Linked DNA regions of Mus musculus. The protein of the gene in region 1 purifies or fractionates together with the protein of each later gene. This does not show direct contact. Links are inferred from orthologs where the notes say so. Each region holds a gene or a part of one and is shown in the gene's direction. Other genes may lie near its edges. The genes, in order: Sirt1, Jun, Zeb1, Hic1, Brinp1, Recql4 and Ect2.

The links.
Region 2: the proteins of Sirt1 (region 1) and Jun purify together in Homo sapiens (affinity purification with mass spectrometry; 4 studies listed by BioGRID and IntAct, with this or other methods). This does not show direct contact. The link is inferred for Mus musculus from reciprocal best matches to the Homo sapiens genes SIRT1 and JUN.
Region 3: the proteins of Sirt1 (region 1) and Zeb1 purify together in Homo sapiens (affinity purification with western blotting; 4 studies listed by BioGRID, with this or other methods). This does not show direct contact. The link is inferred for Mus musculus from reciprocal best matches to the Homo sapiens genes SIRT1 and ZEB1.
Region 4: the proteins of Sirt1 (region 1) and Hic1 purify together in Homo sapiens (affinity purification with western blotting; 4 studies listed by BioGRID and IntAct, with this or other methods). This does not show direct contact. The link is inferred for Mus musculus from reciprocal best matches to the Homo sapiens genes SIRT1 and HIC1.
Region 5: the proteins of Sirt1 (region 1) and Brinp1 purify together in Homo sapiens (affinity purification with western blotting; 6 studies listed by BioGRID and IntAct, with this or other methods). This does not show direct contact. The link is inferred for Mus musculus from reciprocal best matches to the Homo sapiens genes SIRT1 and BRINP1.
Region 6: the proteins of Sirt1 (region 1) and Recql4 purify together in Homo sapiens (affinity purification with mass spectrometry; 3 studies listed by BioGRID). This does not show direct contact. The link is inferred for Mus musculus from reciprocal best matches to the Homo sapiens genes SIRT1 and RECQL4.
Region 7: the proteins of Sirt1 (region 1) and Ect2 purify together in Homo sapiens (affinity purification with mass spectrometry; 3 studies listed by BioGRID). This does not show direct contact. The link is inferred for Mus musculus from reciprocal best matches to the Homo sapiens genes SIRT1 and ECT2.

Annotation. Positions count from the first base shown.
Region 1 is NC_000076.6:63,336,236-63,340,366, reverse strand, and holds the start of Sirt1 (NAD-dependent protein deacetylase sirtuin-1), read left to right. Parts: upstream 1-1,331; 5' UTR 1,332-1,396; coding exon 1,397-1,802; intron 1,803-3,270; coding exon 3,271-3,387; intron 3,388-4,131. UniProt on the Homo sapiens protein: NAD-dependent protein deacetylase that links transcriptional regulation directly to intracellular energetics and participates in the coordination of several separated cellular functions such as cell cycle, response to DNA damage, metabolism, apoptosis and autophagy.
Region 2 is NC_000070.6:95,049,423-95,053,442, reverse strand, and holds the start of Jun (transcription factor AP-1), read left to right. Parts: upstream 1-1,220; 5' UTR 1,221-2,171; coding exon 2,172-3,176; 3' UTR 3,177-4,020. UniProt on the Homo sapiens protein: Transcription factor that recognizes and binds to the AP-1 consensus motif 5'-TGA[GC]TCA-3'.
Region 3 is NC_000084.6:5,766,360-5,769,859, forward strand, and holds part of Zeb1 (zinc finger E-box-binding homeobox 1), read left to right. Parts: coding exon 1-1,666; intron 1,667-3,500. UniProt on the Homo sapiens protein: Acts as a transcriptional repressor. Inhibits interleukin-2 (IL-2) gene expression. Enhances or represses the promoter activity of the ATP1A1 gene depending on the quantity of cDNA and on the cell type.
Region 4 is NC_000077.6:75,167,456-75,171,575, reverse strand, and holds the start of Hic1 (hypermethylated in cancer 1 protein), read left to right. Parts: upstream 1-1,320; 5' UTR 1,321-2,056; coding exon 2,057-2,573; intron 2,574-2,929; exon of another isoform or gene 2,930-2,953; intron 2,954-3,423; exon of another isoform or gene 3,424-3,645; coding exon of another isoform or gene 3,646-3,682; intron 3,683-4,031; coding exon 4,032-4,120. UniProt on the Homo sapiens protein: Transcriptional repressor. Recognizes and binds to the consensus sequence '5-[CG]NG[CG]GGGCA[CA]CC-3'. May act as a tumor suppressor. Involved in development of head, face, limbs and ventral body wall.
Region 5 is NC_000070.6:68,828,898-68,832,397, reverse strand, and holds part of Brinp1 (BMP/retinoic acid-inducible neural-specific protein 1 precursor), read left to right. Parts: intron 1-2,942; coding exon 2,943-3,112; intron 3,113-3,500. UniProt on the Homo sapiens protein: Plays a role in neurogenesis and brain development. May suppress cell cycle progression in postmitotic neurons by inhibiting G1/S transition.
Region 6 is NC_000081.6:76,707,760-76,711,954, reverse strand, and holds the start of Recql4 (ATP-dependent DNA helicase Q4), read left to right. Parts: upstream 1-1,395; 5' UTR 1,396-1,478; coding exon 1,479-1,562; intron 1,563-1,643; coding exon 1,644-1,677; intron 1,678-1,756; coding exon 1,757-1,854; intron 1,855-2,026; exon of another isoform or gene 2,027-2,046; coding exon 2,047-2,187; intron 2,188-2,403; coding exon 2,404-3,153; intron 3,154-3,293; coding exon 3,294-3,420; intron 3,421-3,520; coding exon 3,521-3,628; intron 3,629-3,728; coding exon of another isoform or gene 3,729-3,731; coding exon 3,732-3,830; intron 3,831-4,195. UniProt on the Homo sapiens protein: An ATP-dependent DNA helicase which unwinds dsDNA with a 3'-overhang in a 3'-5' direction. Does not unwind more than 18 bp of dsDNA. May modulate chromosome segregation. The N-terminal domain (residues 1-54) binds DNA Y-shaped DNA better than ss- or dsDNA.
Region 7 is NC_000069.6:27,115,879-27,119,378, reverse strand, and holds part of Ect2 (protein ECT2), read left to right. Parts: intron 1-1,462; coding exon 1,463-1,601; intron 1,602-3,500. UniProt on the Homo sapiens protein: Guanine nucleotide exchange factor (GEF) that catalyzes the exchange of GDP for GTP. Promotes guanine nucleotide exchange on the Rho family members of small GTPases, like RHOA, RHOC, RAC1 and CDC42.

The DNA of each region.
Region 1 (4,131 bases):
ACAACAACAAAGAGGATTTTTATGTGTTTGGGTCTTTTGGCTCCATACATGTCTGTGTTTACCAAAAGCAGGTGTCAGATCTGAAGGTATGAGCTGTCATGTGGATGATGGGAGTCAAACCTAGGGCCTCTGCAGGAGCAACAAGTGCTGTTAACTACAGAGCCATTTCTACAATTCTAGAAGTAAGATTATTTTTTCGAGACAGGGTTTCTTTGTGTAGCCTTGGCTGTCCTAGTGAACCTCCTCCTGTCTCCTCCAGCTTGCTGGGATTAAAGGCCTGTGCCACCATCAACTGCCTAGGATTTTAAAACTAATGTCATTTACTTTAAACCTGACTAGCTGATTTCTCATGGTCTATCGTTTTAAATTTCGTTTTTGAGACGAGGTCTTATGTATTCCAGGCCTTTTTTGAACTTCCTAAGTAGTTGGAGATTACCTTCAACTTACCCTCCTTCCTCCCTCTCTCTAGGGCTTCGGGGTTGTCTGGCAAGCGTGACTTTACAACTGAGCTACAGTCTCTTTCGGTCCTGGCCCTGTCATTTTAGAGATGATTAAAAACTGGGCTTAGAAAAGGTTCAGTCAATCGCCCAAGTCACAAGAGCCCAGGCCCAATCTGACTCTTAACACAGAAGTTTGTGGAGAACCAACCACTCTCCCTTCTGTCCTCTCTCTTGCTGCCCCAAGAGATGAATTTTACCAAAGACTAAAGCGAGGTACAGAGGACCTGGTGGGTCCAGAGAGCAGATAGGGCGGGTCCTCAATCGCCAGATCTTTCCAGGAGGGCAACAGGCCCCGAGGGCTGGCTTGGGCATTCCATTGCACTTGAGAAGGGAGATTGGGAGAGAGCGCAAACTTCCTGAGGAGAGACCACAGGGGTAACCTGAGGAAGAGCTGTCACAGAGCAAGGGCAAGGCAGGTGGAGGAGTTCTCCTCAGGAAGGCCGGCGTCGGCCAGGTTGGGCTCTCCAGAGCCCCTGAGGTAAAAGCCGACTTGAGGCGAAGAGGCGCAGGCAGGCAAGGTGCACGCGTGAGGCCCAGGTGGGAAGTGGCGGCGCCATCGCAAACTTGAACCACCGCGGCGATCCCGGACGAGCAAGCGAGCGAGCGAGCGAGCGAGCGAACGGGTCGGGCGGGCGGGAGGCGCCAGAGGCCGCTGAGGGGAGCCGAGCCGCCCTGGGTGGGGCCGGGAAGGGCCCAGGCCGCGGGCGGCGCCCGGCCACGTGACCCGGCGTGTTGTGGTCCGGCCCGCGTGGGTGGCGGGAGAGGCGCGGGGGCGGGGAGGGGCGGGTCACGTGACGGGGTTTAAATCTCCCGCAGCCGAGCCGCGGGGGCGCCAGTGCCGCGCGTCGAGCGGAGCAGAGGAGGCGAGGGCGGAGGGCCAGAGAGGCAGTTGGAAGATGGCGGACGAGGTGGCGCTCGCCCTTCAGGCCGCCGGCTCCCCTTCCGCGGCGGCCGCCATGGAGGCCGCGTCGCAGCCGGCGGACGAGCCGCTCCGCAAGAGGCCCCGCCGAGACGGGCCTGGCCTCGGGCGCAGCCCGGGCGAGCCGAGCGCAGCAGTGGCGCCGGCGGCCGCGGGGTGTGAGGCGGCGAGCGCCGCGGCCCCGGCGGCGCTGTGGCGGGAGGCGGCAGGGGCGGCGGCGAGCGCGGAGCGGGAGGCCCCGGCGACGGCCGTGGCCGGGGACGGAGACAATGGGTCCGGCCTGCGGCGGGAGCCGAGGGCGGCTGACGACTTCGACGACGACGAGGGCGAGGAGGAGGACGAGGCGGCGGCGGCAGCGGCGGCGGCAGCGATCGGCTACCGAGGTGAGTCCGCGCGCGCTGCCGCGCAGCCGCGTCCCTCCGCGTCCCCGCCTGTGACCCGGTCCCAGGTTGCCCAGGGCCCCGAGAGCTCCGCGGGCTCCGCGGCGGCGGCGGCGGCAGCGGCGCAGCTCGGCCCTGGCTCGGCCGCGCGCCGCCGAGCTCGCCGGCCCTGCTGCGGAGCCGCGCGCGGACTCGCCGCTCGCCTGGGCCGCCTTGCGCTGCTGCGCGCAGTCGCCGGGACCGCGGTTCTCGCAGTTTGGCGTTAGAGTGAAGTTTTCCCTCCCTCGGTTTGGTTTCCCTCCCGATGCGCCTTTAGTGAAGTTATAGTTTTCCTCACTGCACACTTTGCTTTGCGACTTTGGGGCTGTCCCGTGGATCGACATGCGATTTCGTTTTGCAAACTGACACCTGTGTTGCTTTTTTTTTTTTTTTTCTTTTTTGGATAGACCTATGTCTTTTTTTGAAGTTAGAAATTTTAATACACCAAAGCTATTTCTTGAGACACAGTCTAAAAAATGTAAGGAAATGGCTATTCCTAAAAATGTTGCTTTTCTGCGATTGCATTTATCACTTCGATATAGAGGAGTTATAGTTGTACTGTACTTTCGTAAGTTTTCTTTTCCTTTCAAAATCATGCTCGCAACATTTTTAGATTAACAAACCTGAAACAAACCTGCTTGGTTTTGCCCTATTGACGCCAAACGTTTGGGTTACTTTTTTGTTTTGTTTTTGTAATAATGCCACTTATCGTCTTCCTGAAAAGCTTTGTACAGAATTTATCAGAGTCTGTCAGTGCCCTTGTAGATGTTTGTGGCTCGTATAATGGTGCCATGAATTAAAAAACAACAAAACGTGTTAGGGACTGAAATAGGAAATGACCCTTGATGTCAGGTATTAAAGGGGAAACAAGTCGCATAAAGTATGCTTCGTGTTCTTTAAATCATACATTTACTAACACCCAGTGGCTGAAGCAGGTAGATTGCTACTTGAAAGGGCTACGGAAAGAGACTTTCTCTGGTTGGGGCAGTGAGAACACAGCCAGGGATTGATTTTTATCTCAGTGATATTTAGAAGTAATTTCTATTTGATGCATTTCATGAAGTTGTATTTCTTTGTCCTGGGCATGGAACCCTGAGCTGCTTTTGTAGGGCTACACAGATTTTATTTGTGTGTGTGTGTGTGTGTCTTCATTTTGGATTTTTTGAGGTAGGGTCCCTGTTTAGCCCAGGCTGGTCCGGAACTCACTATTTTATATATGTCAGGCTGGTTTCCAATGTCTGTGCCTTCCAGGTGCTGGAGTTACAGATGTGTGTGCTTCTGTGCCTTTCTGGTTTTTTGTTTTTGTCTCAAGAACCTGTGTGTGTCTCACCATACAGGCCAAACGGGCCTCAAAGTACCTGGGATTGCAGGTGTGGACCGCAGGGCCCAGCTGGGGATTGTCTGAGCCGCAGCCTTTTGATCTCTTTGACAGACAACCTCCTGTTGACCGATGGACTCCTCACTAATGGCTTTCATTCCTGTGAAAGTGATGACGATGACAGAACGTCACACGCCAGCTCTAGTGACTGGACTCCGCGGCCGCGGATAGGTATGCTTCAGGCATGTGCATCTTTGAAACAATTGCAAACTTCCTTCATTCCTTCCGTCCTTCTGTCCGTCCTTCCTTTTTGAGACAAGATATTTTATAGCCCAAGCTAGTTAAGCTACTCTGCAGTCTCTGCCCAGCCTCTGGAGTACATCACAACCAAAGCTCTTTTTGACTTACTCTTCCTTCTCTCTTTTCTTGATTTTTTTTTTTTTTTTTTTTGACATTTTCATCTATCCTATGATGGCTTTAAACTTGTGGAGTCTAGGATGTAAGGATGACATTGATATCCTGACTTTACCAGCAGTCCAGAGTGCTGGGATTATAGGTGTGCTGTATGTACCATGTCCGTTTGTCAGTGCCTGAGGTTAGGTCCTCACCTCTTTTCTTCTGTACATTGTTTTTGCTTTCTGTGTACAGCCTTTGGGGGTTTTGCTTGCTTGTTTTGTTGTGGTTGTTGTCGTTCGTCTGCTTGCTTGTTGAGACAGGAACACGTATAGCCTAGACTGGCTTGAACTCATTGGCTGGGTAGCCAGCCAGCACATATTAGCCTTGAATTTCTGATCTTGTGTCTAAATGCTGGGGATTATAGTTATTTGGTACCACCCCAACAGCTGCTTTTGTACCAACTTTAAATTCTCTGTCACCTTTACCATTTAGATTTAGTTGCTCAGGTATTGGTAAGATTTTTTTTTTCTTGGCCTCCTGCATGGTAATCCTTGAGTCGCTCACCACGTCCTCCCATCT
Region 2 (4,020 bases), on another chromosome or scaffold:
GAGGGTGGAGGGCTGATAGCAGAACCTTAGAAAAGAAATAACTTACATGTGTCTAGCGCTTCCTAGAGGCCGCACAGGATATGACTCCACCAGTGAGCGGGGAGGGGAGTTTTCAGCCTGTTTCTACCAGGGACTCCTGCTTAAGCACCGTGACTTGGGGCGAGTCCGCAGCTCTCAAGGCTTGTTTTCCCAGAAGCAAATCAGGGAGGGAGGAAGGGCGGGCGCAGACTGAGTGTGCGCGGGACCGTGTGTATGTGCTAGCGCAGGCGATCGCCGAGGTTTCCTGAGTTTCGAACCTTTATATGTTGCTTTCGACACCCCATGGGCGCTGGGCTAGCATCTTTCACACCTAGAGGAGGGGTCCCTCGGAGGCAAAGCGAACACCCCTCCCCCGGCACGTCCAGAGAATAAAGTGTTGTGCCGGGGACCCTGATGAGTCGGTTCCGAACACCGCAAATCTCTGGTTTCCAGGTACAGCACACTGCGGCGCAGATCCTTCTCCGAAACTAAACTTCCAAGCATACTCATCTTGGAGGGCTACTCTCAAACCCGCTCAACTTCAACGCACTTACGTGCTCCCACACCCAGGGCGCACACAACCCTTTTAACCCGCATCGCTCTGTCCCCCGGAAGTGCGGGGGTGCGGAGCCAGCTTCAGTCACTCAGATCATTCAGCCCTTTCTCGGGCGTGCGTGCGTGTGTGTGTGTGTGTGTGTGCCCGCGCGCGGGCGCGCGCCTGTGTGCAACCTTCACTCCCACCCAAGCTCTCCGCCCCCGGCCACTAGCGCGCCTCCCCTGCTTTCTGGATCCCCGCGTCTCGGTCCCAGTCCCCAGCCCTGAACTTGAGCCCGCCTCCGACAGACTCCGCAAGGGTCCTGCCGACCGGCAGCCTCCGTCACTAGACAGCCAAACCAAGACGTCAGCCCACAATGCACCGGGCGGGCCGGGAAAGACGCGCCGGGGAGGGAACCCGGGAACACAAGCCGAAGCTGAGCGCGGGAGGGGGGGGGGGGAGGAGGAGAAAGAAGGGCCCAACTGTAGGAGCGCAGCGGAGCATTACCTCATCCCGTGAGCCTTCGCGGGCCCAGAGAAGAATCTTCTAGGGTGAGGTCTCCATGGCGACGGGTGGGCCCGCCCCCCTGAGAACGACGCAAGCCAATGGGAAAGCCTCGGGGTGACATCATGGGCTATTTTTAGGGATTGACTGGTAGCAGATAAGTGTTGAGCTCAGGCTGGATAAGGACTCAGAGTTGCACTGAGTGTGGCAGAGACAGCCTGGCAGGAGAGCGCTCAGGCAGACAGACAGACAGACGGACGGACTTGGCCAACCCGGTCGGCCGCGGACTCCGGACTGTTCATCCGTTTGTCTTCATTTTCTCACCAACTGCTTGGATCCAGCGCCCGCGGCTCCTGCACCGGTATTTTGGGGAGCATTTGGAGAGTCCCTTCTCCCGCCTTCCACGGAGAAGAAGCTCACAAGTCCGGGCGCTGCTGACAGCATCGAGAGCGGCTCCCGACCGCGCGAGGAAATAGGCGAGCGGCTACCGGCCAGCAACTTTCCTGACCCAGAGGACCGGTAACAAGTGGCCGGGAGCGAACTTTTGCAAATCTCTTCTGCGCCTTAAGGCTGCCACCGAGACTGTAAAGAAAAGGGAGAAGAGGAACCTATACTCATACCAGTTCGCACAGGCGGCTGAAGTTGGGCGAGCGCTAGCCGCGGCTGCCTAGCGTCCCCCTCCCCCTCACAGCGGAGGAGGGGACAGTTGTCGGAGGCCGGGCGGCAGAGCCCGATCGCGGGCTTCCACCGAGAATTCCGTGACGACTGGTCAGCACCGCCGGAGAGCCGCTGTTGCTGGGACTGGTCTGCGGGCTCCAAGGAACCGCTGCTCCCCGAGAGCGCTCCGTGAGTGACCGCGACTTTTCAAAGCTCGGCATCGCGCGGGAGCCTACCAACGTGAGTGCTAGCGGAGTCTTAACCCTGCGCTCCCTGGAGCGAACTGGGGAGGAGGGCTCAGGGGGAAGCACTGCCGTCTGGAGCGCACGCTCCTAAACAAACTTTGTTACAGAAGCGGGGACGCGCGGGTATCCCCCCGCTTCCCGGCGCGCTGTTGCGGCCCCGAAACTTCTGCGCACAGCCCAGGCTAACCCCGCGTGAAGTGACGGACCGTTCTATGACTGCAAAGATGGAAACGACCTTCTACGACGATGCCCTCAACGCCTCGTTCCTCCAGTCCGAGAGCGGTGCCTACGGCTACAGTAACCCTAAGATCCTAAAACAGAGCATGACCTTGAACCTGGCCGACCCGGTGGGCAGTCTGAAGCCGCACCTCCGCGCCAAGAACTCGGACCTTCTCACGTCGCCCGACGTCGGGCTGCTCAAGCTGGCGTCGCCGGAGCTGGAGCGCCTGATCATCCAGTCCAGCAATGGGCACATCACCACTACACCGACCCCCACCCAGTTCTTGTGCCCCAAGAACGTGACCGACGAGCAGGAGGGCTTCGCCGAGGGCTTCGTGCGCGCCCTGGCTGAACTGCATAGCCAGAACACGCTTCCCAGTGTCACCTCCGCGGCACAGCCGGTCAGCGGGGCGGGCATGGTGGCTCCCGCGGTGGCCTCAGTAGCAGGCGCTGGCGGCGGTGGTGGCTACAGCGCCAGCCTGCACAGTGAGCCTCCGGTCTACGCCAACCTCAGCAACTTCAACCCGGGTGCGCTGAGCAGCGGCGGTGGGGCGCCCTCCTATGGCGCGGCCGGGCTGGCCTTTCCCTCGCAGCCGCAGCAGCAGCAGCAGCCGCCTCAGCCGCCGCACCACTTGCCCCAACAGATCCCGGTGCAGCACCCGCGGCTGCAAGCCCTGAAGGAAGAGCCGCAGACCGTGCCGGAGATGCCGGGAGAGACGCCGCCCCTGTCCCCTATCGACATGGAGTCTCAGGAGCGGATCAAGGCAGAGAGGAAGCGCATGAGGAACCGCATTGCCGCCTCCAAGTGCCGGAAAAGGAAGCTGGAGCGGATCGCTCGGCTAGAGGAAAAAGTGAAAACCTTGAAAGCGCAAAACTCCGAGCTGGCATCCACGGCCAACATGCTCAGGGAACAGGTGGCACAGCTTAAGCAGAAAGTCATGAACCACGTTAACAGTGGGTGCCAACTCATGCTAACGCAGCAGTTGCAAACGTTTTGAGAACAGACTGTCAGGGCTGAGGGGCAATGGAAGAAAAAAAATAACAGAGACAAACTTGAGAACTTGACTGGTTGCGACAGAGAAAAAAAAAGTGTCCGAGTACTGAAGCCAAGGGTACACAAGATGGACTGGGTTGCGACCTGACGGCGCCCCCAGTGTGCTGGAGTGGGAAGGACGTGGCGCGCCTGGCTTTGGCGTGGAGCCAGAGAGCAGCGGCCTATTGGCCGGCAGACTTTGCGGACGGGCTGTGCCCGCGCGCGACCAGAACGATGGACTTTTCGTTAACATTGACCAAGAACTGCATGGACCTAACATTCGATCTCATTCAGTATTAAAGGGGGGTGGGAGGGGTTACAAACTGCAATAGAGACTGTAGATTGCTTCTGTAGTGCTCCTTAACACAAAGCAGGGAGGGCTGGGAAGGGGGGGGAGGCTTGTAAGTGCCAGGCTAGACTGCAGATGAACTCCCCTGGCCTGCCTCTCTCAACTGTGTATGTACATATATATTTTTTTTTAATTTGATGAAAGCTGATTACTGTCAATAAACAGCTTCCTGCCTTTGTAAGTTATTCCATGTTTGTTTGTTTGGGTGTCCTGCCCAGTGTTTGTAAATAAGAGATTTGAAGCATTCTGAGTTTACCATTTGTAATAAAGTATATAATTTTTTTATGTTTTGTTTCTGAAAATTTCCAGAAAGGATATTTAAGAAAATACAATAAACTATTGAAAAGTAGCCCCCAACCTCTTTGCTGCATTATCCATAGATAATGATAGCTAGATGAAGTGACAGCTGAGTGCCCAATATACTAGGGTGAAAGCTGTGTCCCCTGTCTGATTGTAGGAA
Region 3 (3,500 bases), on another chromosome or scaffold:
GTGTTCCTCGCCATCTCTTTCGACATCACCAGGCAGTCCCACACGCCCACAGATACGACAGAAGATAGAGAATAAACCCCTTCAAGAACCGCTTTCTGTAAACCAAATCAAAACTGAACCTGTGGATTATGAGTTCAAACCCATAGTGGTTGCTTCAGGAATCAACTGTTCAACCCCTTTACAAAATGGGGTTTTTAGCAGTGGTGGCCAATTGCAGGCAACCAGTTCTCCTCAGGGTGTGGTGCAAGCCGTTGTTCTGCCAACAGTTGGTTTGGTATCTCCCATAAGTATCAACTTAAGTGACATTCAGAATGTACTTAAAGTGGCTGTAGATGGTAACGTAATACGACAAGTCTTGGAGACTAATCAAGCCAGTCTTGCATCCAAAGAGCAAGAAGCAGTGAGTGCTTCGCCCATCCAGCAGGGTGGCCATTCTGTCATTTCTGCCATCAGTCTTCCTTTAGTTGATCAGGATGGAACAACCAAAATCATCATCAACTACAGTCTTGAGCAGCCCAGTCAACTTCAGGTTGTTCCCCAGAATTTAAAGAAAGAAATCCCAGCCCCTACAAACAGCTGCAAAAGTGAGAAGTTACCAGAAGACCTTACTGTCAAATCAGAAACGGACAAAAGCTTTGAGGGGGCCAGGGATGATAGCACTTGCCTTCTGTGTGAGGACTGCCCAGGGGACCTCAATGCACTTCCAGAACTAAAGCACTATGACCCAGAGTGCCCTGCTCAGCCTCCACCCCCTGCCCCAGCCACCGAGAAGCCAGAGTCCTCTGCTTCATCAGCTGGAAACGGAGATTTGTCTCCCAGTCAGCCACCTTTAAAGAACCTTCTGTCACTCTTGAAAGCCTACTATGCTCTGAACGCGCAGCCAAGCACAGAAGAGCTCTCAAAGATCGCCGATTCTGTGAACCTACCGCTGGATGGAGTTAAAAAGTGGTTTGAAAAGATGCAAGCTGGACAGATTCCAGGACAGTCTCCTGACCCCCCTTCTCCTGGAACCGGGTCAGTAAACATACCTACAAAAACCGATGAGCAGCCTCAACCTGCGGATGGAAATGAGCCCCAGGAAGACAGCACACGCGGACAGAGTCCTGTCAAGATAAGGAGCTCTCCGGTTTTACCTGTAGGATCAGCCATGAACGGTTCCAGAAGCTGCACATCATCCCCATCCCCTCTAAACCTTTGCTCAGCCAGGAACCCGCAGGGTTACTCTTGTGTGGCAGAGGGTGCCCAGGAGGAGCCCCAAGTAGAACCTCTTGATCTCTCACTACCAAAGCAACAGGGAGAGTTACTGGAAAGGTCGACAGTCAGTAGCGTTTACCAGAACAGTGTTTATTCTGTCCAGGAAGAACCCTTGAACTTGTCTTGTGCAAAAAAGGAACCACAAAAGGACAGCTGTGTTACAGACTCAGAACCAGTTGTAAATGTAGTCCCACCAAGTGCCAACCCCATAAACATTGCTATTCCTACAGTCACTGCCCAGTTACCCACAATCGTGGCCATTGCTGACCAGAACAGTGTTCCATGTTTAAGAGCACTGGCCGCCAACAAGCAGACTATTCTGATTCCCCAAGTGGCATATACATATTCAGCTACTGTGAGCCCTGCCGTGCAGGAGCCGCCAGTGAAGGTGATCCAGCCAAACGGAAACCAGGTTAGTAAAGCATTAACCTAAGTTTTTTTAGTGAAGAAATCTCTGTCTCTGTAGAATCAACCAGATTGTTACAGCTGCCATGTTTAAATGGAACTTATGGGTTTGCTTTCCTTGCATGGCAGGATACCTTCCTTCCCTTGCTACTCAGCTGCCTTAGGGCATCAACCACAGTTGAGAGTGTATTCTCTGAAAACCAGTGCATGAACTCAGCTGGAGACCTGACTGAGCTTAGAAGCATAAGACAAAATGTGTTACTCATTAGTTAGAGTGGTGGTTTTCTAGTTAAATTTTCAGATTGGTGAGTTTCTTCTTTGCTTATGATCACTATTAAACAACCATGTTCCCATTCACCATAAAGCCAAGAAAGGGTTTGCTGGTACTTCGTGTGCCAACTCCTTTGTTAGGAGTTAGGTTAACCTTTGGTTAAACAGAGTATTCTGGAACTCAGATACAGTGTTTGGTTGTAGGTACTCATGAGGTGTGCCTGTGGCCAAGGAGTGCCACACCTCATGAGGCCTGGCTTTGTTTGGTTCTGGGTAGAACTCTGCTGTATTGCTATTTGTTTCTCACTGTCTATCCAGAATCTTCCCATGACACTAGGCTTGATATCGCCACTTTTTCATCAGTCCCTTTAATTGGATCAAATGCCAGAGATGGCTGTTTGATCTTACTGCAGGCACAGCTACAGTTGCTCTGTGTCCTGCTCAGGTTTGCCCTGTGGCCTCCTGTGACTGCCACTCACTCATTGGCATCTCCAGAATTGTAGTAACTCATAAAGAAACCATGCCCATGACTAATGGCACTAGATTTCTGGGGTGTGTGTGTGTGTGTGTGTGTGTGTGTGTGTGTGTGTGTGTGTGATGTATACTTGTGTATGGACAGGTGTGTTCACCCATGAGTGTGCATGTAGAGGCCAGAGATTGACAGTGACTGTCTTCCTAATCACTCTAATATTTTGGGGACAGGGTCTCTCCCTGAACCTGGAGCCTACCATTTTGTCTAGACTGGCTGGCCCCACTATCTGCCATCTTCCCAGCCCTTCTTGATACCTTTGAATTTAAAGAAAACAGAGCTTTTACCATTTCAAGTGACTTGGACTATATCAAGAGCTATAAAGTAGAGTCACTTCTACACTGGCAGCTAGTGATAAATGACTGGCTTTGCTTGTCATATCGAGCTTTCAAAAGAACAGAGTCTATGAGACTCTAGGAAAGACCCAAAGGTCATAGGTGACCTAAGTCTTCAAGAGGCTCTCTGCAGGACTATTCCATTGAGAAAAGCGCCTTTTCTGAAAGTGACTTCTCTGAGACCATCTTGAGGTTCTATGTCATGTCTTGTGTATTTTATGAAAATTGTAAGGGTTCTCTTTTACAGACAGCTACTCCTATTTAAAAATCTCAGCCCCTCTCACACTTTTCCTCCTCATTCCAGGGAAAGTATGGACCAAAGCAAATCCCTCTTCGCCAGACCAAGGGAGCTGGTACAAAGGCCTCCAGGATGAAGGACACACTTTAAAGACATTGTCTAAACTATGTCTCAATTCTTAGTGAAACGCAGAATTTTTATGAAAAGCACAGTAAGGGCTGGTGAGATGGCTCAGTGGGTAAGAGCACCCAACTGCTCTTCCGAAGGTCCGGAGTTCAAATCCCAGCAACCACATGGTGACTCACAACCATCCATAACGAGATCTGACTCCCTTTTCTGGAGTGTCTGAAGACAGCTACAGTGTACTTACATATAATAAATAAATAAATCTTAAAAAAAAAAGAAAAAAAGAAAAGCATAGTAAATGATGAATTGGAAATGAGTGGTGAATTATCAAGCTCATTGATTA
Region 4 (4,120 bases), on another chromosome or scaffold:
TGGGACTCCTTTCTAAAGGAGTCAGAATAGACTAAAGGCAAATACGATATGGAACAGGTCCTCCAAAACAGCCCGATTCTGTCTCCGGGCTCTAAATGGGGTCGTCATGCGTTCACGGAGAGGAGGAAGCTGCACCAGGATGACCAGAGGAGCTCAGGAAGAAGGGGAAAGCAAAGTTAAGAGGAGGGGCATGGTGGTGCGCATCCTTGTACGTGGGAAGTAGACGCCTTTGTGAGTTCGAGGCTAGCCGTAGACTTGAAACTGTGGTGGTGGTGGTGGTGGGGCGTGGAGGAGAGGAGAGGAGAGAAGGGGAGGGGAGGGGAGGGGAGTACACAGTGAAACTTGGGCAAGGTTTATGTGGTTGGCCCCATAGCGATACAACAAGGGCTTGAGTCGGTGGAGAGGGATAGAACAAGAAGGAACTGAAGACCCAGCCGACCTCCTTATGGGTCAACCAGCGGATAAACTCCATTGTGTAAAACACATACAGAGCTTTCTCTCCAGACTCGCACGATCTAACCCCATTAAAAGGAGAAAACATTTAAAACAGAGACATCAGAGACACCCTTGCTTGTGGGAGAACTCAGAGTTGTCAAAACTCATCCCTAAGAGCACTTCTGGGGAGCCTTCTTATCCTCAAACGCTCCGTTACACTTCCGCTTCAGCCCCAAGGCGTATCCCTCGACAGAGATACCAAGGTACCTCTTCACTTCTCCTAGAGCTCAGAAATTGTGGAGTCCACCGTGGGACTGCAGTGTTTGTCTTGTATGGACACTGTACGGAGATACGAAGTAGTAAGTGGATTAGATGGAGGCGGAGCACACTGTCGCGGAAACCTGGTGAGCCTTGAAGACTCTTTGGACCAGAAGCCTAGGCCAGGCATAGAAGTCTCCTGCCAAAGAAACGCAGCCTCTAGGAGGCGCCCAAGACCTTGGTGTCTCACTGGTACAGCTAGAGGCCCGGCCGGCTGCCCCGGGCGAGTGACTCAGCCACTACCTCAAGCGGGGGAGTGGGGGCTCGAAGACAGCGTGGGGTGCGGCGAGCGTAGCCCCCACCCGCCCTGCGCCCCGCGCGGTTGCTAAGCTCTCCAAGGCCTCTGAGAGATGAGATCCCGGGAACCTCATTGGTTACCATAGTAACTCTGAGCCCCAGCCTCTCCGGCTTGGCCACGGAGGATGGCGCAGCCAATAAGAAGCTGTGGGCGGTTTGGGGGGACCCCCCCTATAGCGTGGGCGGGGGTCAGGAGGTGCGGGGAAGAGGCGGAGCGTGGGCCACGGAGGCGCGGTGCTTGCAACGGTGCTTATGCCTCCGCCCCGCTATGCAGGGACATTTCCGGTGAGCACCCAAGAGCTGGTGCACGCTCCCCTCCCTCCTAAAAGAGGAGTCACCAACATGAATGAGCTCTCCCTTGTGTGGCGTGTAGGATCTTTTTTTGAGGGGGTCTCAAGCCGCCCGTTCTCGTGATATCTCTCGAATGGTGTATTGGGGGGGGGCAAACTAAGATCCCTCAAAACTGCTTAGATGGGGGATTGGGGACTTGAGGGGCACGTCGCAAGGGGGCTCTGTCCAGCTATTTCCAATGGAGGGCTCTAGGGTCCTTCTGGAGACCCGCAAGTTCGGGGAGGGCTCTTTGGTAGGACCTCTACCCCGTTTCACGTAGTAGCCTCCGCAGTAGCCCAAGAAGTTGGGACTCCGGGAGGGGGTGGGCGGTCTGTGTAAACATGGCGCGCCCTTGTCACTGCTTGGACAGAGTTTGAGTGTGGACGGTTTATGATGTGCATACTGATAACATGTGTCTGAGGGAGAGTTGGAATGTGTCTCTCTCCACTGAGTCCAAGTGAATAATGGTGTTCAGAAATGTCTAATAAAAGCCGCCCCGCTCCTGCTCCGAACGTATGTACCTTCATCTCACTTAGGATTTCTAAGCTCGCCCTCTCACAGAATACTGTTCGTAGTGTTCCACCCCAACCCCTTTTCTAAGATAGGGTCTCAGGTAGTAGAGGCTGACCTTGAACTCCTGGTCCTCTTGCTTCCAACTCCTGGGTGCTATGCTAGGATGATTACAAGAATGCGCCACCATCCCTGGCTTAAGAGTTCCTCATTTGAAGACAGAACCTTCCCCTCCCCCCCCCCGAATTGGCGCGATATAACATATAAATATGTACTCGGGAGCACTCAGCACAAAACCCCCAGGTTTATGGGACTCCCAGGTCCGATATCTGAGTCTCCAGGTGGGCACATCTGGAAGCGCGCGAACCTGCAAGATCTGCTCAGCTCCGCATCTGCAAGCCTCTTGGCCCAGGTGTGCGCCAGAGGTCGCAGCCCAGCCGCACACAGTCCCCGCGTGGCCGCGAGGTGGCGCCATGGCCGCGGCAGCGTCTGCCGGTTCGGGCCGCTCCAGATAAGAGTGTGCGGAAAGCGCGGAGGGGCTGAGACGCGACCAGGACGCGGGGAGGACGGACCGGCAAGACAGACCGACCGGGGGCCCGGCGGGCGGAGGGCAGCGCACTGCAGCCACGTCCCCCCCTGGATCCGCCGGCAGCCGGGCCCGGGGCTTCCGACATGCCCCCCAGGTGGGTCCTCGAGTTGGCGACAGGGAAGGGCAAGGGACCCGGGACAATCTGGTCCTCGTGCGCCGGCTACCTCGGGAGCATCCTCAGGCGTGGGCGCCCGGGTCGCGGCTGGCGTTTGGGGCTCTAAGTGTCTTCCCTAGAGGACTCGGGACGGCTGGGCCGCTGCTCGGCGCCGGGTTCACGGCGGGGTCAGCGGCCCGGGGCCGGCTCTGCCCGCACATGGGCTGGGGAGGAGAGGGGAAGGCAAGGGGAGCCGGCGGGCGGGGCTGGCAGGGGCGCTGCCCTGGCACAGCTCGGCGCCTGGCAGCGGGGCGGGTGGGGCGCAGGCTAGGAGCTGCCACCGCCTCAGGGAGGGAAGCCGGGCTGGGCGGCCGCCGCAGGTAACGGGCCGGCGAGGCCCTGCGGGCCAGGCGGGGAACAGGGGCGGGCGTGCTCGCCGGAGGGCAGGGCGGCTTTAGATTTGGTGTGGGTCCCCACTGCCACCAGGCTGCTGAAATTGGGGGCCCAGAGGAGGAACTGGGGGCCAGGGAGGGGGGCTGGGGCCGGCGCGCTCCTCCCGCCCTGTCTGAAGTTGGGAAAGTTTTCCCCGAAGTTTGAGGCGGCAGAGTTTCGGGGGAGACGGGGCGGAGGGGAGCTGGGGAAGAGATGTGGAGCCGAGGCCCCGGCTGGGTCCAGAACGCGGGTGGGGCGCAGGCCAGGGTCAGGGCCGCAGCCGGCTGTGCGCCGTGCCCGCCCGGGGCGCTGCCCCCTCCCTCCCCTGGGAGCTGCGTGGCTCCCCCCTCCCCCCCACCTGCTTCCTGCCTCAGCCTCCTGCCCCGATATAACGCCCTCCCCGCGCCGGGGCCCGGCCTTCGCGCTCTGCCCGCCACCGCAGCCACTGTCTCCGCTCCCCGGGCCGGGCCGGCCGGCCCTAACGAAGGCCTGACAGCCCCGGGCCAGGGCGGTGCCTCGATGGGCATCTTGCTCCCGTCTTCCTTATCACTTCCCCTAACCGGGGCAACTTCTTTCGAGGCGGGAGGCGCTTCTAACTCGGCTCCTTGTCTCCCCACTTGGGCAAACTTCTCGGCCCTGAATGACTTTTCCTGAAGCGGACATTTTACTTAAATCGGGTAATTGTCTCCGAAAGGGTCATTTCGCCCTAAACAGATTTCTCCCTGGAAGTTCCCAGGACCCAGCCTGAGTGCCCAGGAGCATCTGGGGCTGGAACAGATAGGCTAACCTGGCCTACTCTCCATCCACAGCCTTTCTCCTCCTGCACCTTCTGTCTGGGGCCGGCGGGCCTAGGCTTCCACTCCCGGAGGCCGCTGATCCTCCTCGGCTACTGTTCAGGCCGTGGTGCTCCATGCCCCTGATCAGCTGAGGGGAAGGGGAAGCGGAGGGGAACCGACTGGGTTGGGTACAAGAGGCCAGGGCACCGCACTGCGTAGCTCTTACCCAGCTGGTGTGTGTCTCCCGCAGGAGAGTGTGCTGGGCAGACGATGCTGGACACGATGGAGGCGCCTGGCCATTCGAGGCAGCTACTGCTGCAGCTCAACAATCAGCGCACC
Region 5 (3,500 bases), on another chromosome or scaffold:
GACTGGTTGTTTTGTCTCTTTGGTTTGTTATTTTGTCTTCTGACTTCTCACCCACCACATCTCTCATCTTACTTCTCTCATCTTCCAGCTTTCCCTTGTGGTGGCTGGGGTTGAATTTGGGGCTTGCTTTGTGCATTCTTAGAACATGTTCTAGCATTGAGCTGAAGGCAGAGTCAAATGCTAATTGATTTTTGAGTGTTAAATTGAAATAAAGAGAGTTGTTGTATCCTAACTACTCCATTCTTTCTCATAATCCCAACGGGAATTTTAATTGTAGTTTTGTTGCTGGGTTTGTTGTTCTTTTTTATTTTTCCCACATTACTAATGATTAAAGTGGGTGACATATTTAAGATGGACAATTAAGAAATGTGGTCATGTTGCGTCAGCAAAAAAAATGGAGGCAGGAATGTGGTAGCCATGTCTACATGCTGACCTTATCTAGAATTTTTCACAATCTGACATTGAACTAGATTATTATGTACATCCAATATCATCATAGCTCAGTAGTCATAGGAGTAGTATTAGGAATCTACATATGGATTTCTAGGAAAATTCATGGAAGAAAGTATATAAATTCATATAATTGTATTTATATCTGTAAGATATAATTCATCCATATCTTTTTTGAAAGGTAATATTTTTTATTTTTATTAGATATTTTCTTTATTCACATTTCAAATTTTATCCCCTTTCCTCATTTCCCCTCCGAAAACCCCCCTATCTCATTCCCCCTCCCCCTGTTCACTAAACCAACCACTCCTGCTTCCTTGTCCTGGCATTCCCCTACACTGGGTCATCAAGCCTTCACAAAACCACAAAGCCTCTCCTCTCATTGATGTCCCACAAGGCCATCCTCTGCTACAAATGTGGCCAAAGCCTTGAGTACCTCCATGTGTACTCTTTGGTTGGTGGTTTAGTCCCTGGGAGCTATGGGTATACTGGTTGGTTCAGATTATTGTTCATCCTATGGGGCTGCAAACCCCTTTAGCTCCATGGGTCCTTTCTCTAGCTCCTCCATTGGGGACCCTGTGCTCTTTCCAATGGATGACTATGAACACCCACCTCTGTATTTCTCAGGCACTGGCAGAGCCTCTCAGGAGACAGTTATATCAGGCTCCTGTCAGCAAACACTTGTTGGCATCCACAATAGTGTCTGGGTTTGGTAACTGTATATGAGATGGATCCCCAGGTGGGACAGTCACTGGATAGCCTTTCCTTCTTCTCCAGTTTCTGCTCCAAACTTTGTCTCGGTATCTCTTCCCATGGGAATTTTCATCCCCCTTCTAAGAAGGACTGAAGTATCCACACTTTGACCTTCCTTCTTCTCAAGCTTCATGTGGTCTGTGAATTGTATCTTGGGTATTCTGAACTTCTGGGCTAATAGCTACTTAACAGCGAGTGCATACCATGTGTGTTCTTTTGTGATTGAGTTAACGCACTCAAGATGATATTTTCTAGTTCCATCTATTTATCTAAGAACCTCATGAATTCATCGCTTTTAATAGCTGATTAGTACTCCATTTTGTAAATGTACCATATTTTCTGTATTCATTCCTCTGTTGATGGACATCTGGGTTCTCTCCAGCTTCTGGCTATTATAAAATAAGGTGAAGAAATATATTTTTTTAGCTTGGCTAATGTGTACCAAAGCTGTTTACAAAAGCTTTTCCCTTCCCCCTGTGGCTTGAGAAATATTTCCTTTCCCTGCCAATATAAGCAAGTTCAATAGTTCAATACCACCTGGCCCCTTCCCCATCTGAGAGGACTGACTAAGAGGTCATGATGACCACAACTGCTGGAGCAAGCTTAGCAGTTCTCAAAAATTAGCTATAACACAGATAATAGTCCTTTGAATCCATGCCTCACTTTGAATTCCAAGATAAACCGCATACTGCCCTAACTTTGCAGACAACGTTTTCTGGTACATCAACAACTGATCACTAAAATTAGACATATACTATTGCTTTGCTAGCCAATAATGATATCACTGTGAACCCCCCCTTTTCAAAAGAGTATAAAGAAGCTGTACTTTTGACAATCGGGGTTGACTCTCCCTGCAAGGCTGAACAACCCTATGCGTGTTGGAATAAAAACTTTTTGTCATTGCAGTGATTTGTAGTCAAGCTGTGTTTCTCAGGGTCTCATTCTCAAGACTTGGGCTCCTGGGGACCCAAAGGCTTCTATGAACATAGTGGAGCATGTGTCCTTGTTACATGGTGGAGCAGTTTGGCGGTTCCTCAGAAAATTAGACATAGTACTACCTGAGGGCCCAGCTGTACCATATCTTAATCCTACTGCCCATTCATCAGTCCATCAATCACCTAAAACATTCTCTCTCTCTCTCTCTCTCTCTCTCTCTCTCTCTCTCTCTCTCTCTCTCTCTCTCTCTCTCTCTCTCCCTCTCTCTCTCTCTCCATAATCCACCTAAGTATTTAGTTGTGTACTCACCCCCTTTCCTATATCTGCCTATCATTAATCTATATATCGATCACCTGTCATTTATCTGTCTAAAAATGAGTACTGTGAGAAGAGAAGGGAGGATGTGAAGAAGTGACCGGAAAACAGTAGAGAAAGGGAAAAGGAAGAATTAAATTGTGTTGAGGAAACATAAGAAGAGCAAGGAAAAAATATCTATGCCAAATCCCTTATAAACTTCTTAGAAGTAGATGACTTCATTAGGTAAGACGATGCCCTTGATATATATGTACGGTTTATTTGGAAATGGCCTTTGATTGCTGAGCATTATTTATGGCGATTGCTTTAATGGGATCTATAACAACTTCTGGATTCAATTTTCTCCACTGTGCCCTTGATTTTATAGGTACAGGGATATTCGGACCAGTTGGTTGGAGCATAAGTCTGTTTTCAGCGTCCCAGATCTGGAACCCCTCCCCCCACACTGAAATGGGAGCAACTTTTCTCATCTGTGCTTTCCCATGCAGGAGAGGAGGCTTTGACCATGTACATGGACAAAAGTCGCCTGGACCGGAAGTCAGGGAATGCTACCCAAAGTGTTGAAGCTTTGCACCAGCTTGCATCATCCTACTTTGTCGACCGTGATGGCACCATGAGAAGGCTCCATGAGATCCAGATTTCAACTGGAGCAATCAAGGTACAGCGTGAGGGTGCACTTAGATTTTCAAGTCAGCAGAACCATGATAGAGACCATCTGAACGCAGATAACCAACATACTTAGCTTCATACCGGTGTATGCCATTTTCCCACTACCCAGCACTCAGATCGATATCACCAAATAATCTCTTACAAAATGAGTCTCTTCATTAGAGTGGCCTTACCGACTGAGTTATTTATATATTATCCTATGTTAATTGCTGAATTAACTACAATGCTATCAATCTATGTTAAATAGATGCTTTTATGGACAACTATGTGCTTACAAATGAACACTCAGGCATGCTGCTCACTAAGCCATGCTCATGTGCACCAACATTGCTCACAGAAACATCAGAGATGCTGGAAATATCTCTATCTTTACTGGC
Region 6 (4,195 bases), on another chromosome or scaffold:
CTGGTTTCCAGAACCAACATGGTATGTCACAGCCACATGGAACTGATGCAGGTGCCCCCTTTTGACCTGAAGCTTTCACATGCACATGGTGTATTTTCCTACGACTAGGGAAAGTAAATATTTTCTAAAGTGAAGTAAATCCCAGACCTCTCTTCCCACCAGACTGACAACAGAGGATTCCTCCAGAGCCAGTAGCCTAACATCCTGACCCTCCACGTAGATGTGCCTTTGGAGTTAAAGAAGTCTAACACAGCTTAGTGAGTGCCAGGCTCTGGGGTTTTTTTTTTGTTTTTGTTTTTTAAAGGATCCTGTGAACAGATGGTGTGCAGCATCTGAGACCAAGGCCCTGAGTTTGAACTCCAGAGATAGCGGATTTCTAGGGTATAACTAGGCAGAGAAATCCCTGAGGAAGAGCAACTCTCACCCTCTGTGGTCCTTGTCTCCTATTCGGGTACCTCCTCTTCACTGAGAAACCATGTCTTAAATTCACGAGATTCATAACGATCCAAGCCAAAACTGCTAAAGCGTTCCAGCTGAGAAGCCACATACAAAAGATCCTGAGCCTGAATGATTCTTGCTATCCTGGGTCAGTAGACTTCCTGTGGGCAAAACACCTTACCCTCAGAACTATGCTACAGTCCTCAGCCCACAACAGAATGGAAAACCAGGGCCTAGGCCTTACGCAAAGCCGCAGCAAGGGACAAGACTGGGGACCAGAAAGACTGATGAAGCCCAGGGTTTGCTTGCTTCTAACATCTCCTACGAGTCCTTAAGGCACGCGTCCCTGGGGAACCCCGCGTGACTGTCCTTGATCTGGCTCTAGCTTAAGATAATAGGACTGCCTAACTGACAGGACAAGCCAACCAAACACCTGTCATAAGAGGAACCGGTGGCAGCCCGCCTGGCCTCCAAGCAAGGATTGCTTCTGGGTGATGCTACTGCACACAGGACACAGCGGTCTCTGCGGCATACAGACGCGCACGCTCGGATCCTTGGAGAAAACAAAAAGCCCGGAACATCAACTGACCCGGGCGAGCCTGGAGCCACAGGCCGAGACCGGCCTCGCCCGCCCCTAGGTCTCCCTTCGCTTGCGGCCCATCCCCGCGCGCCGGCGGCACCTCCCGAGAATCCGCCTCAGCCGTGGTCTTCAAGCGCCAGTCCCCGTCGAACCTGCCGTCCAAGTGCCCTGACCACTAACGGCTGCTTGACTCTCAGCTCGACTCGAATCCCAGCCCCGCGGCCCCCGCTCATCCGCCTCCCCGACTACCAAGGCCTGCAACCCTTCCTCGCCCAGCAAGCCTCGCCCAGCTCCGCGCAGCGCCGGGGCGCGCTGTGATGACGCAACAACTCATAGGCCCGCCCCCTCCCCGGGGGGCTCAGAGCATCTGCAGCACCGCCCGGCGGCCGCTCTCATTGGCTAAGGACAGGACTTTACGGTGGCGGCGGGAGATTTCCCCTAAACTCACGTTCGGGCTGCCATGGAGCGGCTCGCGACCGTTCGCGCGCGGCTACAGGAGTGGGAACGCGCTTTTGCACGGCTGCACGGGCGACGGCCAGCGAAGGTGAGGTGGAGTTAGGGTCCGGACAGGGGCGGCAAGTGGGGGATCCTGGCGCAGCCTGTTGCTGACAAGCTTCTCTCCTAGGGGGATGTGGAGGCGGCACCTGAAGAGACCCGCGGTGAGCACTGGGCTGGTGGACCAGGGACAGGGCGAATGTTAGTGGGTATGCCCCTGACCGCCGACTTCTGCCTTCCCAGCGCTCTACCGTGAGTACCGTAACCTAAAGCAGGCGGTGCGTCAGGCTGACGACAGACATCGTGTCCTAGAGCAATCACTTGCCGAGGCAGCTGAGGAGGTATCAGTGAATCCCACTCTCAGCGGTCTGTGGTCCAAATGGCAGGAACCGAGAGCATTTTGCAGCCGTGCCTCCATGGAGCACAGAAGTTGGGTGGCCAGGTCCTCCCATGGGGGTTAGGGGAAGCTTTAGAGGCACTTCTGTGCCCATGCCATCTTTTAAACTGGTCTAGGTTGCTACTATCTACTGCAGGCACAGGAGCCAAGCTGCTGGGGTCCCCACCTGAGTCGAGCTGCAACGCAGAATACGCAGTCTATGCCAAAACAGAGCCTACTGAGTTCTGTACAAGACTATGGGAAGAGGCTCAAAGCCAATCTGAAAAACACAACACAGGTAAGACGTGGAGGTGAACCCAGAACTGCCTTTGGCCCTTGGGTGGTTTGCCAGGGTCCTTCTATGTCCACCCTTCCTTATAGCACGCACGTACGCTCCTGTAATAACTGGGACTAGGTTCCTAACGGTGCTCAGGCATCTCCACTCTTATTGTCTGTCCCAAACTTCTGCAGTAACCCAGGTCCTGAATTCCGATTTGCTGTTCTGTCTTTCTAGACTGGACCAACCCAGAGCAGAAAACTCCAGCTTCAGAAGAGATCCTTGTCCACAGTTCCTGCCCCAAGGCCACCAGGCTCAAAGACTGAATCCCCCTGTCCAGACGAAGCTGACGATGCACTTCCTCGGGTTCCTGAGCCCCGGCCGAGGCTGGGCCAGCTCCAGCAGCTCCGATCATCCCTCAGCCGGAGGTTGACTTCCCTAGACCCTGGTTGGTTAGAGAGGTGTCACAACAGAGTTTCAGATCTTCTAGAGGTTCCGGGTGCTTGTGGGCTTGACCTGAGTGCAGAGGAGTCACAGCCTCAGATGTCAGGCAAGGTGAACATCGCTGATCCTGACATCCAGTCAGAAGTATCTGTACAGAGCCCAGAGGCCATAGCCCAACAGCCAGCCCAGGTTTTGTCACAGAGCCCCAAATCCATCAACAGTAAAGGCAGGAAGCGGAAGTGGAATGAGAAGGGGGAGGACTTTGCACAAGACCAGCCCAGCAGCGGAGCAGGACCCCTGTCTGAGGGAGCCAGGGCTACAGTACATGGGCAAGACCCTCCAGGAGAACCCACACAAGTGAATGTCCCTCAGCCATGCAATTCCTCAAACCAGGCCAGGACAGAGAAGGCTAAGGGCACAACCCACCTCCATGCCTCTCCTCGACCAGCTTCCCTAGACAGAGGGAACTATATTCGACTCAACATGAAAAACAAACGCTTTGTACGAGTTGGGGCCAATCGGGGCAGGCTTCTCCGTAAGCAGGTGAGATGTGCTGAATGGAACAGGCCAGCCTCCTCTCCTCTCCTCTCCTCTCCTCCTCCCTCCCCCTCCCCTCCCCTCCCCTCCTCCTGTCTCTTCCCGTCTACTCCTGAATGGTTCTTCCATGTGTGGCCCTTCCCCAGGTATGGAAGCAAAAGTGGAAGAAGAAACAAGCTGCGTTTGGGGGAAGTGGACCCAGGGCCACAGACAAGGACACTTGTTTCCGGTGTGGGCAGTTTGGTCACTGGGCATCCCAGTGTTCCCAACCAGGTAAGCCTCTCCCTTAAGTATTGGGTCATTTGCCCACCGTGGGTGCTAGGGAATCACTTACACAAATGAAAGGCTCCAGCAGCCCTTGACCCTGGTCCAGGCCCCACCCTGACCGTCCAAGAGGAAGGTGACAGGGATGACAAACAGCCCATTTCCACCTTGGAAGAAGTAGCACAGAGGACAGGCACTGCTTCCTGTCACCACTCTGGTGAGTGAGGGGGAATGGGTGATGTGACTGCAGGCCATCATGCCAGGATGGTCACTGTCTCTGCTGGTGCTTCCACATCACCCTCTCTTGCCTATCTAAGCAGGTGAGGAAACACAGCCTGCTGCGCCAGAGCTACAGGTGCCTCATTGCCCCACCCCAATGTCACCCCTCTACCCACCGGGACCTTTGGGACAAGTAGCAGGTGAGTGAAACTTAATGGTCCAGACTCTTTTTTTTTTTTTTTTTTTTTTTTTTTTTTTTTAAAGATTTATTTATTTATTTATTTATTTATTTATTTATTATATGTAAGTACACTGTAGCTGTCTTCAGACACTCTAGAAGAGGGAGTCAGATGGTTGTGAGCCACCATGTGGTTGCTGGGATTTGAACTCCGGACCTTTGGAAGAGCAGTCGGGTGCTTTTACCCACTGAGCCATCTCACCAGCCCTGGTCCAGACTCTTTATCAACACATCGTAGTTGCTGTTCTGTTGCTGTGAAGAGACACCATGACCAAGGCAACTCTTTTTGATTGTTGGGTTTTTGAGACAGGGTTTCTCTGTGTAGCC
Region 7 (3,500 bases), on another chromosome or scaffold:
TTCACTCACTTAAGAAAAATAAAATTCAGTAAAATTGAAATTAAAAAGTTACTTTTAATACTTCTATATAATATAAAACCAAGAGCAATCACTATACCTGTACATTAAGAACAGTTGAATATTAGTACATCTGTATTTTCTTAAATATGACAGATGACTTTGAGGAATTTATTTTCCATTTGAATATTTTATCTGTGCTTTGGGTTTTTATTTTTATCCTTGGTTTATTAGTACTTGTACTATCAATTTTAATACTCTTCTTTCCTTTTTAAAAATTAATCTTAAAATAATATATTTCATTTAGCCAAACAAAAAGAAAGCATATCTGTTCATTGCACAGGAATCAGTATCCGCTGCTTACTTTTCACGATATGTGTGTGAGCCTTTGTATTTGTTTTATACACAAATGCATATATAATTTATATATAAGATATGTATATAATTTATTATAATATATGTGTGACATGTGGAATAGACACATCTGTGTCTGCTTTAGTGTAGTTGTAGTATACTGACTACCTTATCTTATTCATTAGCTCAATACCAGGTAATACATTTTTAACTGTGTCTCTCATATTCATGATGACCGATCTCAATTCAAGTACATATTTATGTTCATTTAGTGTTAATAATGCCTTTCAGTAAAATCTGAATTACTGCAAAGGAGATTTCTTCTTTCTTTCCTTTTTCTTTCCTTTTGGCAAAATCTCACTATATCACGAATCACAAGCTCTTTCTGATTTCGCTCTTCTCCAGTTCCCTATTTCTTCCTTTTGCATGGGTATCCAGTTAAGGTAAAGTTATAGCCTAATACAGCACTGTGGATTTATAATTCCTATTGCTTCTGTGTGTGTTGTTGTTGTTGCTGTTGTTGATCTGTTGAGACAGCCTCACTGTGTAGCTCGAGGTGGCCTGGAACTGAAAGTCCCGCTCTCCTGCAGTGCCCCCTAGAGCTGGGGTTTCGGGTGGATGCTTATCTTTCTGCAGCTTCCCTTTGGCAGGCTTCTGTAAGCAAGCCTGAGGACAGGACCGATCTCACACTTCTTGTGTGTTCTGTTACTAGGAGAGATTTCAAATTTTTTAACTTAAACTAAAATTAACACCATTTTGAGCCCTAGACTCCTGCCCCAGAACAACTGTTCCCCTGTGGGGCTGGGACTGTTATTCTAGACCTCTGTTGCTGTCCCTCGTGGTCTTGTCCTTTCATGCTCTGGAGTCTCTCTGCGCTCTCTATCCCTAGGCCTGCTTTTCTGATTGTGAACTTTCCTAATATGGACATGAGCATCTGGCTACATAATTACATGTGTGCTTTTTCGTCAGTCTCTTGCTTTTATTGCATAGTAACTGGCATGGCTAATCTTCAGATTAGTTGCCTATACATTTATGTGATTGACGCTGTTATTTTTAAATGTTTGAAATTTGGCTTTATTACAATAATGATTGACTTTCCCCCTACAATCAGATAGCAAGAAAGCGGCACAAGGTTATTGGCACTTTTAGAAGTCCTCACGACCGCACCCGGCCCCCCGCTTCTCTGAAGCACATTCATCTCATGCCTCTTTCTCAGATTAAGAAGGTGCTGGACATCCGAGAGACAGAAGGTAAGCTCATGGAGGAAGCGTTCCTTAACTTAACTCGCTTGTCCTCGTTGAGCCTTAGCTTTATTACTGTAATTTCTCTATGTATACATTAATGTATCCATTTTCTTCACACGTGGCTCCCCATCAGCTCCTTCCCTAGGTGCAGACTGATGTCTTCATGGTTTCTAATGAAAGTGTTACACCATCTTGAGGAATATCCTCTCTTAAAAGTCAAACAACTTTTACATGGCTATGCTTTAAAATAGCACCTTAGCTTGTCTTATTCCCACATCAAAACTTACTAATAATTCTTCAAAATCCAACATAAACGACCAGTTTTATTCAGGACCATATATTTTAATACTTTTTTTTCACCAATGGTGCATTTTGGGTTCTTTCTTTTTCCCATTATGTATGGATGTTTATTTAGTGTCCATGTCTGTGTGCCTCATCCATACAGTGCTCACGGAGGCCGACAGAGGACACACATCCCCGTGGGAGTGGAGTTAAGATGGCTGTGAGCCATGTGGATGCTGGGAATGAACCCAGGTTCTCTGGCAGAGCAGCCTATGAGGTCTTAACCACTGAGCCATTTCTCCTGCTCCAGGAATGTCTTTAAGATTTGGGAAGGGGGTTGTGGGAGTGATTACAAGACGGTCCAATGTGTAAAGGTGCCTGCTGCCAAGAGTGACCTGAGTTCAGTCTCTGTCACCCACATAGTGGAGGAAAAGAACTCATTCCCACAATTTGTTCACTAAAGTCCACATACTCTAGCATGAGAGTGTGCATAGGAATAGACAATCACACCATTTTTTTTTTAAAGAAAAGAGAGATTATTAGTAGATGTATATCAAATAAATAGCCCACAGTATCTGGTAACTTGGCATAGGATTAAGTACATACACATACATATGAAAAAGATGGGTGTCTTGGCTCACTCCGATCCTAGCATTTGGGAGGCAGAAGAAAGCAGATTTCTGAGTTTGAGTCCAGTTATAGGTACGTAATGAGTCACTCAAAAACAAATAATAAAATACAAGTAGGCATGTGTACATGTGTGCTAGTTTTCTCTTGCAACAAGAGTCCTGAGATAATGCATTTCTAAAGATACTTTGGCTGATGATTTTGGAGAGTTCAATCCATTCTTTGGTCTCACTGCTGTGAATGGTGGTGACATGGTTCATCATGTCTGAGAGCACATGATGGGGCCTCATGGCTGAGCTGTGAAATGGCATGTCCTTAGCCATCTAGAACCTCCCACTCTTGCCCAGCTGGAGACTGAGCCTGTAAACGCTTTTGGTGACATCCTGTCCCAAGGGAAAGTTTTCCTTTTTTAACTTGACTAGTATTTGATTTTTCTGTAGGTCTGAAAAGGCCCCACTACACATCTACCTTAAGTTGTGCTTTCTAGTTAAGCAGTACTAGTGTTGTGTGGTCATGGTCTTGGTTTAGGAAATCTTTTCTTTTTTCTTTAAATAAATGAAGTGCTTTAGGTGATCTGCTCCTGAGTTTGTAAGACATGAGCAGCTCCTCTTTCTCCTGTGTGTTGCTACTAATCAGACCCAGGGCTTTGCACCTACTTGTCAATTCCCCTATCCCTGAGCCACTTCTCCAGTGCACAGTAACTTACAAAACTGGTTTTCACCTGTTCAATTCTGTTTTGTAGAGCCTATGATGAGGCATTTACTTAAATTTGGTGGAGTTGTGGTTGTGAAAGTGTTCAAAACACACGAGTGAGTATCTGTAAGATGCAGATCAGGGAGATAGAGAGCACTTGATTATCTGAGTTCAGTCCCAGGGACCCTGTGCTGGAGAGAGCAGTCCTCCCACAGCTGCCCTGGCCTCCACATGGTCATTCATTGTAATTTTAAAATGTTATTTTAGCATCTCAATTACAAAGCAATTATGTTTTGATATTTG